Drosophila melanogaster: one gene and its partner. The protein of the gene in region 1 interacts with the protein of each later gene in a pairwise test. Each region holds a gene or a part of one and is shown on either strand. Other genes may lie near its edges.

What was found. The genes of interacting proteins can lie anywhere in the genome.
Region 2: the proteins of CG11164 (region 1) and Cpr47Eb interact in a two-hybrid assay, tested with the Drosophila melanogaster proteins (one large-scale study listed by BioGRID).

Annotation. Positions count from the first base shown.
Region 1 is NC_004354.4:13,666,423-13,674,403, reverse strand, and holds CG11164 (uncharacterized protein), read right to left. Parts: upstream 6,391-7,981; 5' UTR 6,318-6,390; coding exon 5,957-6,317; intron 5,885-5,956; coding exon 5,223-5,884; 3' UTR 4,831-5,222; downstream 1-4,830. Other genes in the region: CG15760 (uncharacterized protein), read right to left, coding at 210-1,159, 1,224-1,917, 1,976-2,168, 2,958-3,103, 3,755-3,844; DNAlig4 (DNA ligase 4), read left to right, coding at 6,664-6,976, 7,044-7,208, 7,268-7,981.
Region 2 is NT_033778.4:11,253,194-11,258,647, reverse strand, and holds Cpr47Eb (cuticular protein 47Eb), read right to left. Parts: upstream 3,482-5,454; 5' UTR 3,404-3,481; coding exon 2,759-3,403; 3' UTR 2,665-2,758; downstream 1-2,664. Other genes in the region: CG13223 (uncharacterized protein), read right to left, coding at 1-166, 226-293, 351-585, 796-914, 970-1,323, 1,374-1,777, 1,839-2,047.

The DNA.
Region 1 (7,981 bases):
CTATAGAAATCTTACAGAACTTGTTAATACTACAAACGGAACTTATCTACTATCGTTTCTTTTCTTCAGGATTCTTCAGACTAAGAAGCGTGCCGCCGGCTCCCAAACATTTCTCCATTTTCGTTTAAAAGCTTATTTCTAAAGGAGAACCTTGAGCTACAACAACAACTACTAAATGACACTGGCGATTCCAACGACCACGCCCACTATTATTCAAGTTGTCCGCGCCGATGGCCACGATGACCACGATGATGGCGATGCTGGCGACGATGATTCCTGGCCTCCGCCTCTGTTTCGCTGTCGGTATCCTCATGACCCCGCTGGGTCTCCTGATGATTCCGCTGGCGATCGACCACCTCCTGTTCCTCATCTTCATCATCGTCAATGGCATCCTCATCGTGCTCGTTAAGCAGCAGCGGACTATCATCCCCGAGGCGATTGGGCGGCAGGGCACTGCCCGGCGTTGTGGGTGCCGATCGGGTGATCCAACCCTTGCGTGCAACTCGTCCACGATTCACAAAGAAGCTGGCACCGCTGACGACACTGCTCACCGGGCTCTTGAGCACACAACGCTGTGCGCCCGATCCGGAACCTCCGATGGCGGCCATGGGTATGTACAGAGCCTTATTGGGTTGCGTTTTGCTGCCGGAGGTGAAGAACTTTTTACTCCGCCCACTGGTGCCGCCCGAAATGGATGCGGATGTGGTTAGGATGGGCTGCAACACCTGCTGGGAGTTCGAGGGCGTCGATAGCGTATGCTGCAGCCGGGGCTTGGCGCCAGTTCCGTTCAGCAGTAGCTGCTCGTAGCTAACGCCCGCCTGCAGCTGGCGGATCTGGTCGAGAATCTCACGCACCTCGCCCGTCGGACTGGTGGCCTGAGGCGGCGAGCCCGGTGTTCCAATGTTGGCCAGACTACTCACGCCGGACACCTGAGCCGATGGCTGGCAGCAGTTCTCCAGACTATGCAGCGGGTTCGGTTGGATGCAGCCATTGCTGTATATCACCGGTGTGCCAGATCCTCCCGATGTGCCTGCGGCACCCGTTACCGATCCTCCCAAGCCGCCCATTGCCAGGCTATTCAGGGAGGCAGCCTGTGTTGCCGATCCACTTTCCGCGCCATGGAAGGCACCACCAGCTCCTCCGCTTTCGGGTAGCATTCCTGCAAGAAATCATATAACAATAAATAAGTATTTTAATAGGAAATTCCTTATCACAATACCCACCTGCCACACAGCTGTTGTTCACAAAGATGTCGCTGAGACTGCTGCTGCTATTCGCCATATACCGGAAGTGCTGATCACTCTGGGACTGAAGGTAGCCCACACCAACGCCCACGCCAACTCCCTCCTCGTGAGATGCATGCAGCCGCGTGCTGTAGAGCGCTGCTCCGCCCGGTGCACTGCCCAGTGCCACGGTGGCATAATGCTGGGCCTGCGTCTGGGCGGGCATCAGTCTCGGCTGATAGGCATCCGTTTCCACCAGCTGGGATGCCGATCTCGGCATGGCGTAGTGCACAGATGCCAGCGGAGCATTTGGCACCTGATGCGATGGCGCCTGTTGTTCCACAGATCTCAGATGGCCATTCCCGTGTCCATGGGCATTTGCATTGGCATTGACATTAGCATTGGCATGCGCATGGGCATGGGCCACATAATGATGCAGTCCTAACTCCGGACTGGCTGCCCGTGAGTATGGTGGTGGCACCAGGGTATTCGCCTCATTCGCATTGCAAATGAAGCTGGAGCTTAGGGAGTCGACGGTGCTGGCCGCACTCAGGGATCCCCCGGCAGCCGGACGGACGATGTAGTTCCGGAAGTACTGCACCATCAGGTAGCTGGAGCTGCCGTTGCCCTTGCCATTGCCCGAATCGCTGTTGCAGGTGAAGACAAGTGGATACAGATCCGGCTTGGAGGTCACCTGAGAAGATGGAAATTGTTAAGCGAATCGATTCCGGTCATGTATATGATTACATTACCTCCGTATATGGCGGCGGCGGATGGTGAAACGAGTTGCAGCGACTATATTGTGGTGGTGCATAGCAGGAGCCGGCGGAATCGCCCTCGGATTGGGTGTGGTGCTCATTGAATCCCCAGCCGCATAGTGTCCGCCGCTTCTTCCATAGTGAGTAGGCACACAGGATGGCCAAGATGATGGCCACAACCACGCACCTGCAATAAGAATATAGATTTTCAATCAATCTTTGTAATATCAAAGTGAGGATCGTTATTCACTGCTCGGTTTGCAGCTGGCGCGACTGAATGAAGAAGCCCATTGGAGTAGTGGATGCGGATGTGGGTGCGGATACGGATCCGGATCCGTGTCCTGCTGTTCCCGTAATCGAATTCCGACTGAAATTTGTTTGCCTTTTCGATGGCCAAGAGATGGGATTATATGAGCTGGGTGGCGGTGTGCGGGTTCCGTTTGTGTCTCATTAGTTGGCATTGCCATTTCCACAGCCCCCAAGGGAGGTGGTCGGTACTATGTGCTGGTCGCACTGATGGTAGTGGTGGCATAGCACGGGGGTACAGCTTGCATAAGCCTCTCGACTTGACTCGACATTTGACTTGACGCAACCCCGTCGCTGGGCGCCACCTTTTCTGCCAATAATAATAATATCTCTCGCATGGCACACAATGCCAATCAGCTGGAAGTCCGGCCAGAGCACACTGAAAACCCACGCCATCCAATCCATCCCACCATTCCAACGCCCCAAAAACCCGCCTCATTGAACGGCCTTGCAGACGACCTCCGGGGAATCCCCAAACACAAAAACAAAAACAGTGCAATTCATGATGACCGTGACCATCGCAGTAGCTAAATAAATCACTTCTACTTTGCGCAATTAAAAGAATCACTGTCTCCGAAAGATTCCTATTATTTTACAATTTCGAATAGATAAGTTAGATAGACAGAGAAGTTTCCAAAAGGAGGAGTTTCTCCGGGTCAACACTACTCACCAGAAAAACCAGTGGGTGGCGAAGAACAGATTGAGAACATGCGAGTCCGAGGAGGGCGGAAGGGGGCGTGGCCCGCCCTGGTACGGCGGACAGCAGCCCTGGGTGCAACAGCCCTGAGTGCAGCCCTCGCAAAATCTGGCAGACACCTGGGAAAATGGAACAAGACATTGCATATATTATTCGTTTAATCATGAGAAATATTTGCACATTTTTTATGATAAAAAATAATGTATTCCACTTTTTGTCGATACACCTTTGAAATTGTCATTGCCAATAAATAAAGAATATAAACAACAGCTTGTTATTTTTGTGGTGTTTTTGTATAGCGAGCGACCACTGTACTGCGCCCTTGTTCTTGTGCTCATATTTATGTTTGTGTGCTATGCATTTATTACCGTTGGGAAAGCAATCGCAATCAATTTAAAATTCAAATGTGCATGCAACATGGATGCGCTTGCGTTTATTTAAAAAACTTTTTACAAAGATTAGCTGTTATCTTTTTTTAAGGCGTTTCGTGGGCCCAAATTGCAACAAGCGCACAATAATTGTATTTAATCAAAATATTACAGTGTTGAAAACCAAAGTTTAAATTGCTCGCACATACAAAGGTTCCCAAAAGCATGCAGTGAAACGTATAGTGTCTTGTTTTAAATGAATTCACAAGCGATTTTTATCACCTTGACAATTTACATGTGTAAAATGCGCTTAAAAATTAACTACAGCATAACATTTCGTTGTTTTTCGGTTATTATGCTAGTTTGAGTGCTTGCAACATTGATGAAATGAAGGGCACTTACGTTCGCTGGCAGCAGCCCCAAAAGGAGGAACAAGGAGAGCAGGAGACACTGCAGCGCGTTTGTGTGCGAGGGAGAGGGACGGAGCCACATCTTTCTCAGCCGCTGACGCTGCCTCAGTCGACGCCGCTGTCGCAGTTGCTGCTCGGACTGGCGCCAAATGTCCTACGGGGCTGGTGAGGGGAGGAGGTGCGGGGAGTGTGTGCCTCTCCCTTATTTTCTTCGATTCTTCGCTTTCTTCTTGTCGCAGCCTCCGTTTTGTGTCCGTTTTGGCCCTCGTGTGCGATTTGTTCCTGTCTTTTGTTTTGCTTTCCTATCTGGCTTTCTACTTGCTTCTTTTGCTGTTGATACTTTGCAGTTCCGTTATTTGTACCACATGCTGTTGTTGCTATTGTTGTTGTGGTCGGACTCACACAAACAGCGCTTTGTTTTGTCCTTGACAGACGCCAAATGCAATTTACCGTAGCATGCTTTTGTGCGTTGCGTTGCGATTGTTGGTGTTGCTGCCGTTGTTGTTGCTGCTGCTGCAGAGAAGAGAGAATTTGTTGCTAACTGAGTGCTGCATTGTATTATTTATCTTATGCCACACCAACCACAACACATTCGCACACACACATACACACACACTAAGGCACAAACACCTCGACGACGCCAAAGAAAATTTTCTTTCGTGTGACGCCACTCTTTTCCTTTCTCTGCCTTTCACAATTTAAACTTGAGCACTGGCTTTGGGACACACGGCTAACGGGAAAATTCACTAATGTAACCCCTGTAATTGTTGTTCCGAAAATTCAAGGCATATAGAAAACAACAACAACAACAAGAGCAGGAGTAGCAGGATATTCGGTTGCGGGCGAATGGGTAACGGGGGTGGCGAAATGCGAATCAAGGCGCAAAGCGGAATTCACCGTTAGCCTCGAACGTGGGAGCGCGCACAGCAACAACTGAGCGACAAAAACGGAAACAAAGGAGCCAGCAGCTTTGTAACTGACGGCCAGGATTGCCACCCCGCGCAATGAACTAAGGATTGAAATCATATGTGTTGCATGAATCCCCAAAAATTAATTTCGTTTCTAGTTAGTTTTATTAGTATACTCTGATTTCATATGTTTAATTAGCATTACTTAATATGCTTATATGGTATACCTAAAAAAATATGTCGACTAAGAAACTCTTTATTCGCAACATTTGGCACTGAAGCCTCTAAGTAAACCAATTCCTTAGAAGCCTGGCAACGCCAACAGCTGATGGGGATTTACCAAACGGAATCAAGAGAGATGATCAAACAGCGCATGCGCCAAAAAGGCGCACTTTCAAAATACCAAATTTATGAATACAAATCTTAAAATAACAAAAGTAATTCTTTAAAGTACTATATTCATTGTAAAAAAAAGTGTACATTTGTATTAAATAGAGTATATATATAAAATAAGGAGTTAAAACCTATTCTTAAGATCTGTGAAACGTTAATCTACTTCGCTTTGAAAAACGATGCGATGCTTTTAGTGCCCTTGGCTCCTTTGGCCAGGGCCTTCTCCTTGGCGGTCAGCGAGCGCTCCTTCAGAGGCGCCGCTGTGGGCGATGTGATGGTGGCATTGGGATCGCCATCGCTGTCCACTAGACCGCTGGACTTTAGCTTGGCAGCAGCATCGCTCTCATTTAGCTTGATCTTCTTGGAGTCGCTGCCCTCGTTCTTGCCCGCCACCGACTTGCGCTTCTGAGAAGCTGCTTTCTCCTCAACAATCGCCTGAATCTCGCTAGGAATGTGCAGGTAACTGGTGAGCAAGCCGTGCAGATCCGCATCCAAATACCGTCCCACATAATCGCAAGCCATGCGCGTGTAGTCCATTTCGTTGCTAACGTTCTCAGCTACCAGTTTCTCGCTTCGCACGAAATTCTGCGACTGCGCACTGTGGCCGCAGTGGACTTGCTTCTCCTTCAGGATCTTCGCCACCTGGCGCGTCTTCAGAGCCAACCAAGCCAATGTGCGCTCTTGGTTGTACTTGTAGAACTTCTGTTCGCCAGAGCTCTTCACATCTGCCACGCATTTAAGGTTCCCTGGGTCGAGGATCTCGTTAAGCAGACGACTGGTGCTGGCCTCCTCCACGGCAATGTTGTCCAGCGATATTGCTCCTGATTGTGGTTAAAGATTTTCAAGAATACAATAGTATAGTATACCATCGAAAGCGAATGATAATATCTTACTTTGCGCACAATGTTTTCGGAGGTGATGAAGAGCCAGGAACGTGGGATCCACGGGCGCGGTCATGTAGATTCTGCCGTTGGAGCAGACCTCGCTGTCCACGAACCAACTGCGTCGGGGTTCCGTGAACGCCACCAGCTCCATCATTCTGCCATCGGGATGGGTTATGAACAGTGCCTCCTTGCCATGTCCGGGATGGAAAAACATCTCCAGCCGAAGGTGTCCGTCGTCCGCATCTTTGGGCAGCAGTTCCTCCGACATGAAGAACACCTTCTTCAGTGCCGAGGCCTTGCACATCTTGGCAGATCCCTCCGCATCCGGATCAGCTTTTGGTTTTCTCGCTCGCGTTTCCTTTTTGCCCATTTTCTCGAATAACTTGCCAAGCGTGAAGCAAAAGTCAATAACTGTGGACCGAACCAAAACAAACGATTTGCCGCCTTTTTGGTTATTGATAGAAGTCTATCGATTAATTTTGGTATTTTATATAGTCTGCTAATTTTAACTTGTTCCTATAAACTATTTTATCTATTTTATGCCAAATAGAAGAGCTTAAAAATTAAATAATCTCTGCCACTAACGTCCGCATCTTAATATTGCAACTAGTCTAAAATGGGTATTAACTTTGATTGAGAAGCGCGGTCACATTGCTTGAACAGATGTTCACAGTGATGAAATTGTTTACAACAGTATATTGTTTTTAAACAACAAAATGAGCGTAGATATAGCCAGCACGATCAAGTTCCGGGATATTTGCAGCCTGTTCGAGAAGATTAAGGCCACGCAAAAGGTGGCTAACAAGGAGGAGGTCCTCAAGAGCTACTACGAGTCCTTCTGTCGCCACCGCGAATCCTTTCGCCGGCAAACCGGATTAAACAACGACCAGCCGGAGGACGGTGCCAGTAGCTTCTATTCCGTGCTGCGACTGCTGCTTCCGGGTGCGGACACTGGTCGGGATACCTATGGATTGCAGATCACCGCGCTGGGCAGGCTCTACATCAGGGTGCTCCAGCTACCCACGGACTGTGAGTGCAGAAACGTATTGGCAATGGCATTTAGGCTTATTTAGAATCTCTTTGTTGTCTCTACTAGCCAGCGATGCCATCAGGCTGCAGCACCGCAACGGAAACATGTACCGGGACTACGGTGATGTTGTTTATTCCGTGCTTAAGCCAAGGTGCTTTAATCCGCCCAGCAATTTGAGACTGAAAGAAATCCATCAGATGCTGGACACCATTGCCAACGAGGACACAGAAGGTGGGCGCTTTTAAACTGATCTGAACGACTGAACGTCTTAATGAGACCGCTCTTTGCAGTTAAGCAGCAGCAACTCATCCGGTTTACGGAGCAGGCCTCGCCTGAGGAACAGAAGTGGCTAATTCGGTTGCTGCTTAAGAGCCTCGGGCTGGGGATCGGTGAGCAAAAGATTTTCGGTGTGCTGCACCCCAAGGCGCAGGATATCTACCAGCGCTGCTCCGATCTGGGACATGTGTGCAATCTGCTGGCAGACCGAACCACCGACCTAGACGCCAGCAGCAGCAAGGACAGCAAGGCGGCGGTCAAGTTTGTAAACCTGAATTCCGTCATACGGCCATTCCACCAGATACGTCCCATGCTGTGCGAACGATTCCCCGGTGACATCCAGGAGCTGATGCAGTCGGATGTGCTCTATCTGGAGACCAAAATGGATGGCGAACGCTTTCAGCTGCACATCGATCGGGGTCGTTTCATGTACATTTCCCGCAATGGAGTGGACTACACCAGAAACTTTGGTCACAGCTACGATCACGGCACCTTAACGCCAAAGCTGAGGGGACTTCTGCCGCTGGGTCTGGAGTCTATCATACTCGACGGCGAGATGATGGTGTGGGATACCAACAAACTGCGCTTTCGGGAAAAAGGCGAGAATACGGACGTGAAGAGCCTGAAGCCGGAGGGCAGCTGGCAGCCATGTTTCGTGGTGTACGATCTGCTATATTTTAATGGCCAGAGTCTGCTGGACCATACCTACATTCAGCGGGCGTACAAAT
Region 2 (5,454 bases), on another chromosome or scaffold:
TCTCCAGCAGAATTAGAACTCCCACGAAGAAAATGTAGTAGGAAACGAGTAGAAAGCCACAAGCTCGTCGCAGCTTAAAGTTTGTGGTTAGTACGGAAAGCATGGAGAAGCCCATTCCAACCTCCAAGAAGATGCAAACCGTCTCCCCAAATCCACCTTCCGTTGGCTGCTGGCAGATCCCTTAACAAAACTTTATATTGCAACATTTACTGTACTACAACTTACGAATATGTTACCGGGCGCGTTTACAAACGAGTTCACCACCAATGGCAGGGCCAAGAAAACAAAGGATGCTTTTGGGGAATGTAAATCTTATATATAGCCTTCGATAATATCTTCTGATTACCTACCAAATACTGGTGCTGAGAATGTGGCCGTCATTGCCATGCGAGGCCATCCCTGATGGGCCAGTGACAGATTGGCCACCAAATCGTTGCTACTTAGTGCCCAGCAAATGGCCGTGGCAAGTGAGAATTCCTGGCTTACTTGCAATATGGTCGCCATCGTAAAGAACATGGCATTCACCTCGGTGGTTAAGCAGAAGATCAGGAAGACGGCGGCCATGAAACCCACGCCAGATGTAAACTGTAAGTTAGTTAGGATGAGACTGGTTAAAGTTGGATCTTAAAAATATTATTTGTTTTTCGCAATATTGGTAAGATTATTTGAGATTAAATGGTCAAATTAGCCTAGTTTTAGCACATATTTATTTCTATATTCTTTGTCATAAATAAAAAACCGGTTATACATATGAGAACGTGGCTGAGATATGCGCTAGAAATAACAAAAACTTACCCTGAAAAATATGGGCGGGGTGTCAGTGCGCGTGAGAAAAAATATCAATGTAGCCACAGGAATCATTAGGATCAGCGCAATCATATAGACGGCTAAGCCCGCAATGCTATATCCTCGAACTGGAATACAGATCGTGAGGTGAAAGAGTCCGGCAAATTTCAAAGGTAACTTCACCTATTATGTAGGCTATGTAGGTGGGTACAAGAACCACCTGGATGTTAAAGAGCAGCTTGGACCATCCGTACTGGGGTGCCTCCATGTCGACCTTTGGAATGAGTATTCTCAACAACATATCGATGGGTTGCTTCACTATCAGATACAGCTTCACCAGGAAGGTTCCCCGATGAAATCGATCCTTGTCGAATTCGGCAACGGTATTCCAAAATTGCCGGAATATTCGCTTATTTCGACTTCCGTGTCCAATGGAGGGTCGATCGATTTCTTGCCGCTTCAGTGGCATCTCCTTCTGCGGCTTCAGTTCCTCCAGCTGCAACGCCTCAGCCACATTCAGTTGTCTTTGCTCCATTTCTGATAAAGAGTAAGCGATGTTCTGCTAACTGATAAAACAATAAACTCACTCTGAATGCGGGCAATCAGCAAATGCTGATCAACGATGGCCACCACCACATAGCCAACGAATATGAAGGCACTGGGCAACGCAGCTAGCCAGCTGATTCCCTTGGGTCGCTTGTGGATGTAATCCATGTAGACCGTATTGAGGAACAGGAAACCGAAATCCCTCAGGTAAGTGTTTGCCCGCATATTGAAGGGCTTGGTCAGGATCACCAGTCCGGCCACAAAGATGTGCAGAAACATGGCCTGCGACATGCACGAGAGGAATGAGTGCTTGGAGGTCTGCACTCTCGAGGCAATCGCCGTGAAGAAATCCGGTGATCCATTTGCAATGGCCAGAACTGTAACTCCAGCCGTGCTCTCGTTCATTCGCAATAAGTCTGCGATTACCATCAAAGTTGGACAGAAGCTGAGGTAGTAGTATGTTCAATCATATTGGTAGTACATTTTGATATCATTGTTGTACTCACTAGTTTTTTATTGTTATTTGCATCATCCAGAAGACATAAATGGTAATCAGAAACATGCCCAACACACTCCAGAAGGAATTGAAACTATTTCGGACATCCACCTTGCAATAATGCCATCCCAGGTAGTTGAACAAATTCATATTGATTAGACAATCAGGTGTCGTTTGCACAAATTTGCATTTTTGTGACTCCAGCAGATCGTGCACCATGGAGCAAGATATTTCGGAACGCATTTTTAGCTTGGTTCATAAGTCTCCCGACTATTTATTCTTGTGAGCTGATCAAAAACCCTAGGCATCTTATGATGTTAAAATAAGAAAGGTTTGAAATTTCATCAACTTACAGAAGATTATTTGGTTGCCATTTAATAAAATATGCTTACTGTTGTTCTCGTTAGTGTTAATTCGCAAAAACAAACATAAAAACGAGTACTGTAAATGTTTAATAAAGGCCATCTTTATGAGATCCATAAAAATTTTTTTGGGAATAACTTTTGAGTTTCGGGTTGTTTACAAATTCCTCCAAATGTATTTTGCTTTGTCCCATTACTAATCAACAAAATATTTCCATTTGCTATGTGCTCACCAATCCGTTAGCGCTTGATTATAAAAATCGTTAATCTTTGTATATTCTCCAATAAAGTTATAAGCCATGATCGTCATACCAATAGTTTGCAGTCGGTGAGATAATATTTCTTCGACCAGCTTTCTGCTTAAATTAGCACTAACCATAACGAAATTTATGATAAGTATTTATATGCAACACGGAATTCGCATTTCACATGCAGCTGCTGTTGCTCCATTTGAATCGAGAAAGATGCGGATTTCAGATAGGGAATCGTTTTATTGCTAGCCAGTTAAATTAGATCGCACTTGATTTTAAATTAAACAATACTTGAGTAGTCTAGGTTCTAGGAGAGCTTAGGCAGTCTTGGTCTCAACCTTCTTCTCGGTCTCGGCCTCGATGGCGGTCTTGACCTCGGCTTGGGGCGCGGCATCGAGGACCACCTGGACAGGCGCCACCTGGGACTCGGCGGGCAGGGGCTCGGATTTCTCCACCACAACCGATTCCTTGGCAACCACAGGCTCCTCCTTCTCCACTGGGGCGGCTTCCTTCTCTACAGCAACTTCCTTATTGTCCAGTTCCTGGGAGCGGGCCTTGCGATACTTCTGCTCATCCTCGGAAACCTTGGGCAGAAGGGCAGCTGACTTGGCCAACTCGGTGATCTCCTTGGGAATGATGGTGCCAATGGGCACGAATCCGTTCTTTCCGGCGGTGTAGTGCACCTCCACGGTGTTGCCATCGGCGTCGATGTAGCTGTACATACCGGACACCTCCAAGGCCTCGTCCTCGGTGCCGGCGTTCTCGATCACTCCCTGCTCCTGGCGCACGGACTGGTCACCGCCCTCGTAGCTGAAGTGGAAGGAGCCATCGGGGTTCTTGTTCGTCTCAAACCTCAGCAGAGGCACAATCTCACGCTTCTCGGTGGTGCTGTCAACCTGGCCAATGCTGGCAGCCAGAGATCCGCCGACCAGGGCCAACAAGCAGATGGCGATCTTGAACATTTCGTTGGCTATTCTTGTGGGGTGAGAGAGATGGGAGAGATTTGGTGCTTTCTAGGCGGGAACCGACGGACGACTTGGCTTACCACATCTTCCATCCACTTTATATACCGGCGTTTAATGTGCGCAGCAGCCGCGAATTAACATCTTTCAGTCCCATTACGCCATAACCAAAAAATACAGAAATATACCCAAAACAAAAGCGAAAGAAAAAACGGAAAAAACACAAAAGAAATTCTATGGAAGCGCGCAGAATGTGACTTAATAAAACACTCACATCTTAGCGACAACATTTGCATATTTGTGATTCAGCGACTTGGCTTAAACGTAAGTCAACAAGAAAAAACAGAGGTCAAGTGATAAAGCCCATGATGATGGGGCACTGTAATGAGATCGATTTGGGCCGGTTATACGAATATTCCAGCAATCGAAAAAAATCCCACCAAGACACGTCATAAACTTGTTTCTCATTCGCTGCCAGTCAATCCATCACTTAAAGTGCCCGAAATATCTAGGCAAGCTGATTGATTGCCAATGTTTAGGAAACTGCATAGCATATTAGCATAGTGCTACACACACGCTCCAGAAGACAAAGGGGCATAAATTAAGATACATTTGAGGTGCGCTTATAACGAGTCCATATATCGGTTTCGGATTCGAATCGCACGCGATCCATCAGTCATCAGTCATCACACGGGAAACTACTTGGCCACCGTGAGTGTGTGCAAAAAGCATCGGCTAGTAGTAAAGTGAGTAAGCCAAATTGTATGTCAAATGTGAAAAATGCACTAAGCCAGCGGCAAACAACTCTTCCTCTCGGCGAAAAACTGCAATTTGAAAAGCCGCCCGAAGGCCAAAGCAAAACGCGGGCAACCGCGAAATTGGCCAAGTAACATGGAAAACGAACGAAAGGGAAAAACCAACGGGTAGCGGGAGTTGGCCAAAAATCTCGGGCGATGTTCATCATGTTCGTGATCATCTTCCAACGCCGAGTTGGCTGGATTTTGGCAGCAGCTATTGCTGTAATTTTTATGAATTGCAACTGACATTTCCTACACGCTGGAAAAGTTTAAAGTTTAAGCCGAAAACTCTTTAGTTTAAGCCTTAGCCGGCCGGCAAAAATGTGCCAAATGGGAGCGAGTTACTGGTGCAGCTGGGAGTGGTGCCTGGTCGACCTGGTCAGCGAAATTGGCCTAAAAGGGCAGGCTCACCCGGTCTACATAGGGAAAACAAAGACAAATAATACTCTTTAACAATGCATTGAAATGGACAAGCTGGCTACGCCCCATCCCGCGGCCCATTCAAATGTCAGTCGGCAGAGATTCTATCTCGACTCATTGGCAGGCATGTGGCCAAATGGCCAATTCATCAAATCGAAACCAATTGCAACATCTGTAATCTTTTAATTAATATTTGACTTAACGAATTATTGCATCCAGTCGAGCATCCAGCGGGGGCACTAATCAAATGAAGTTCGCATTGCTAATTCACATAAATTACACCGCGGAGAACTGTGAGCTGTAAGCTGCATACGCGGCGTATGCGCAACGCCCATTTGCATTTGAAACTCGTTGCGCATACGCTACGTGGTGCACTGGCAGCGACGGCAGCTCTTCCGATTCTGTTGCTGTCAGGCAGACAAACACTGTTTGTTTCGAATCCCGCTCGGCCTCCGCTCGTCGTCGGCTCCTCCTGCCCTTCCAGCCGCCAAATCTGCAAATCTGGGCTGCTGCACTGCATCTGGCTGCGGATGCTGCTTCTGCCGCTGCTCTGCTGTGAGCTGCAGTGAATGCGATTTCGGTATAAAAACGTTTGTGGCAACTGCAGCCAAGTCAAAGCACTTTTGACGAGCCTCCCAGCGCAGTACCCGCTATCAAGTCGCGAATCCGAAGTGAGTTTAAGTTCTAGTTGCGGTGGTGACTCCTTGAAGACAGGATCACACACAGATACATAGATCAGACACATAAGCTACAACTTGCGAGCGAGTGCAGAGACAAGTGGAGTTGATCCTGCATAAAGGATAACCAAAGTTTAAATTCAAAAGATCACAGTCA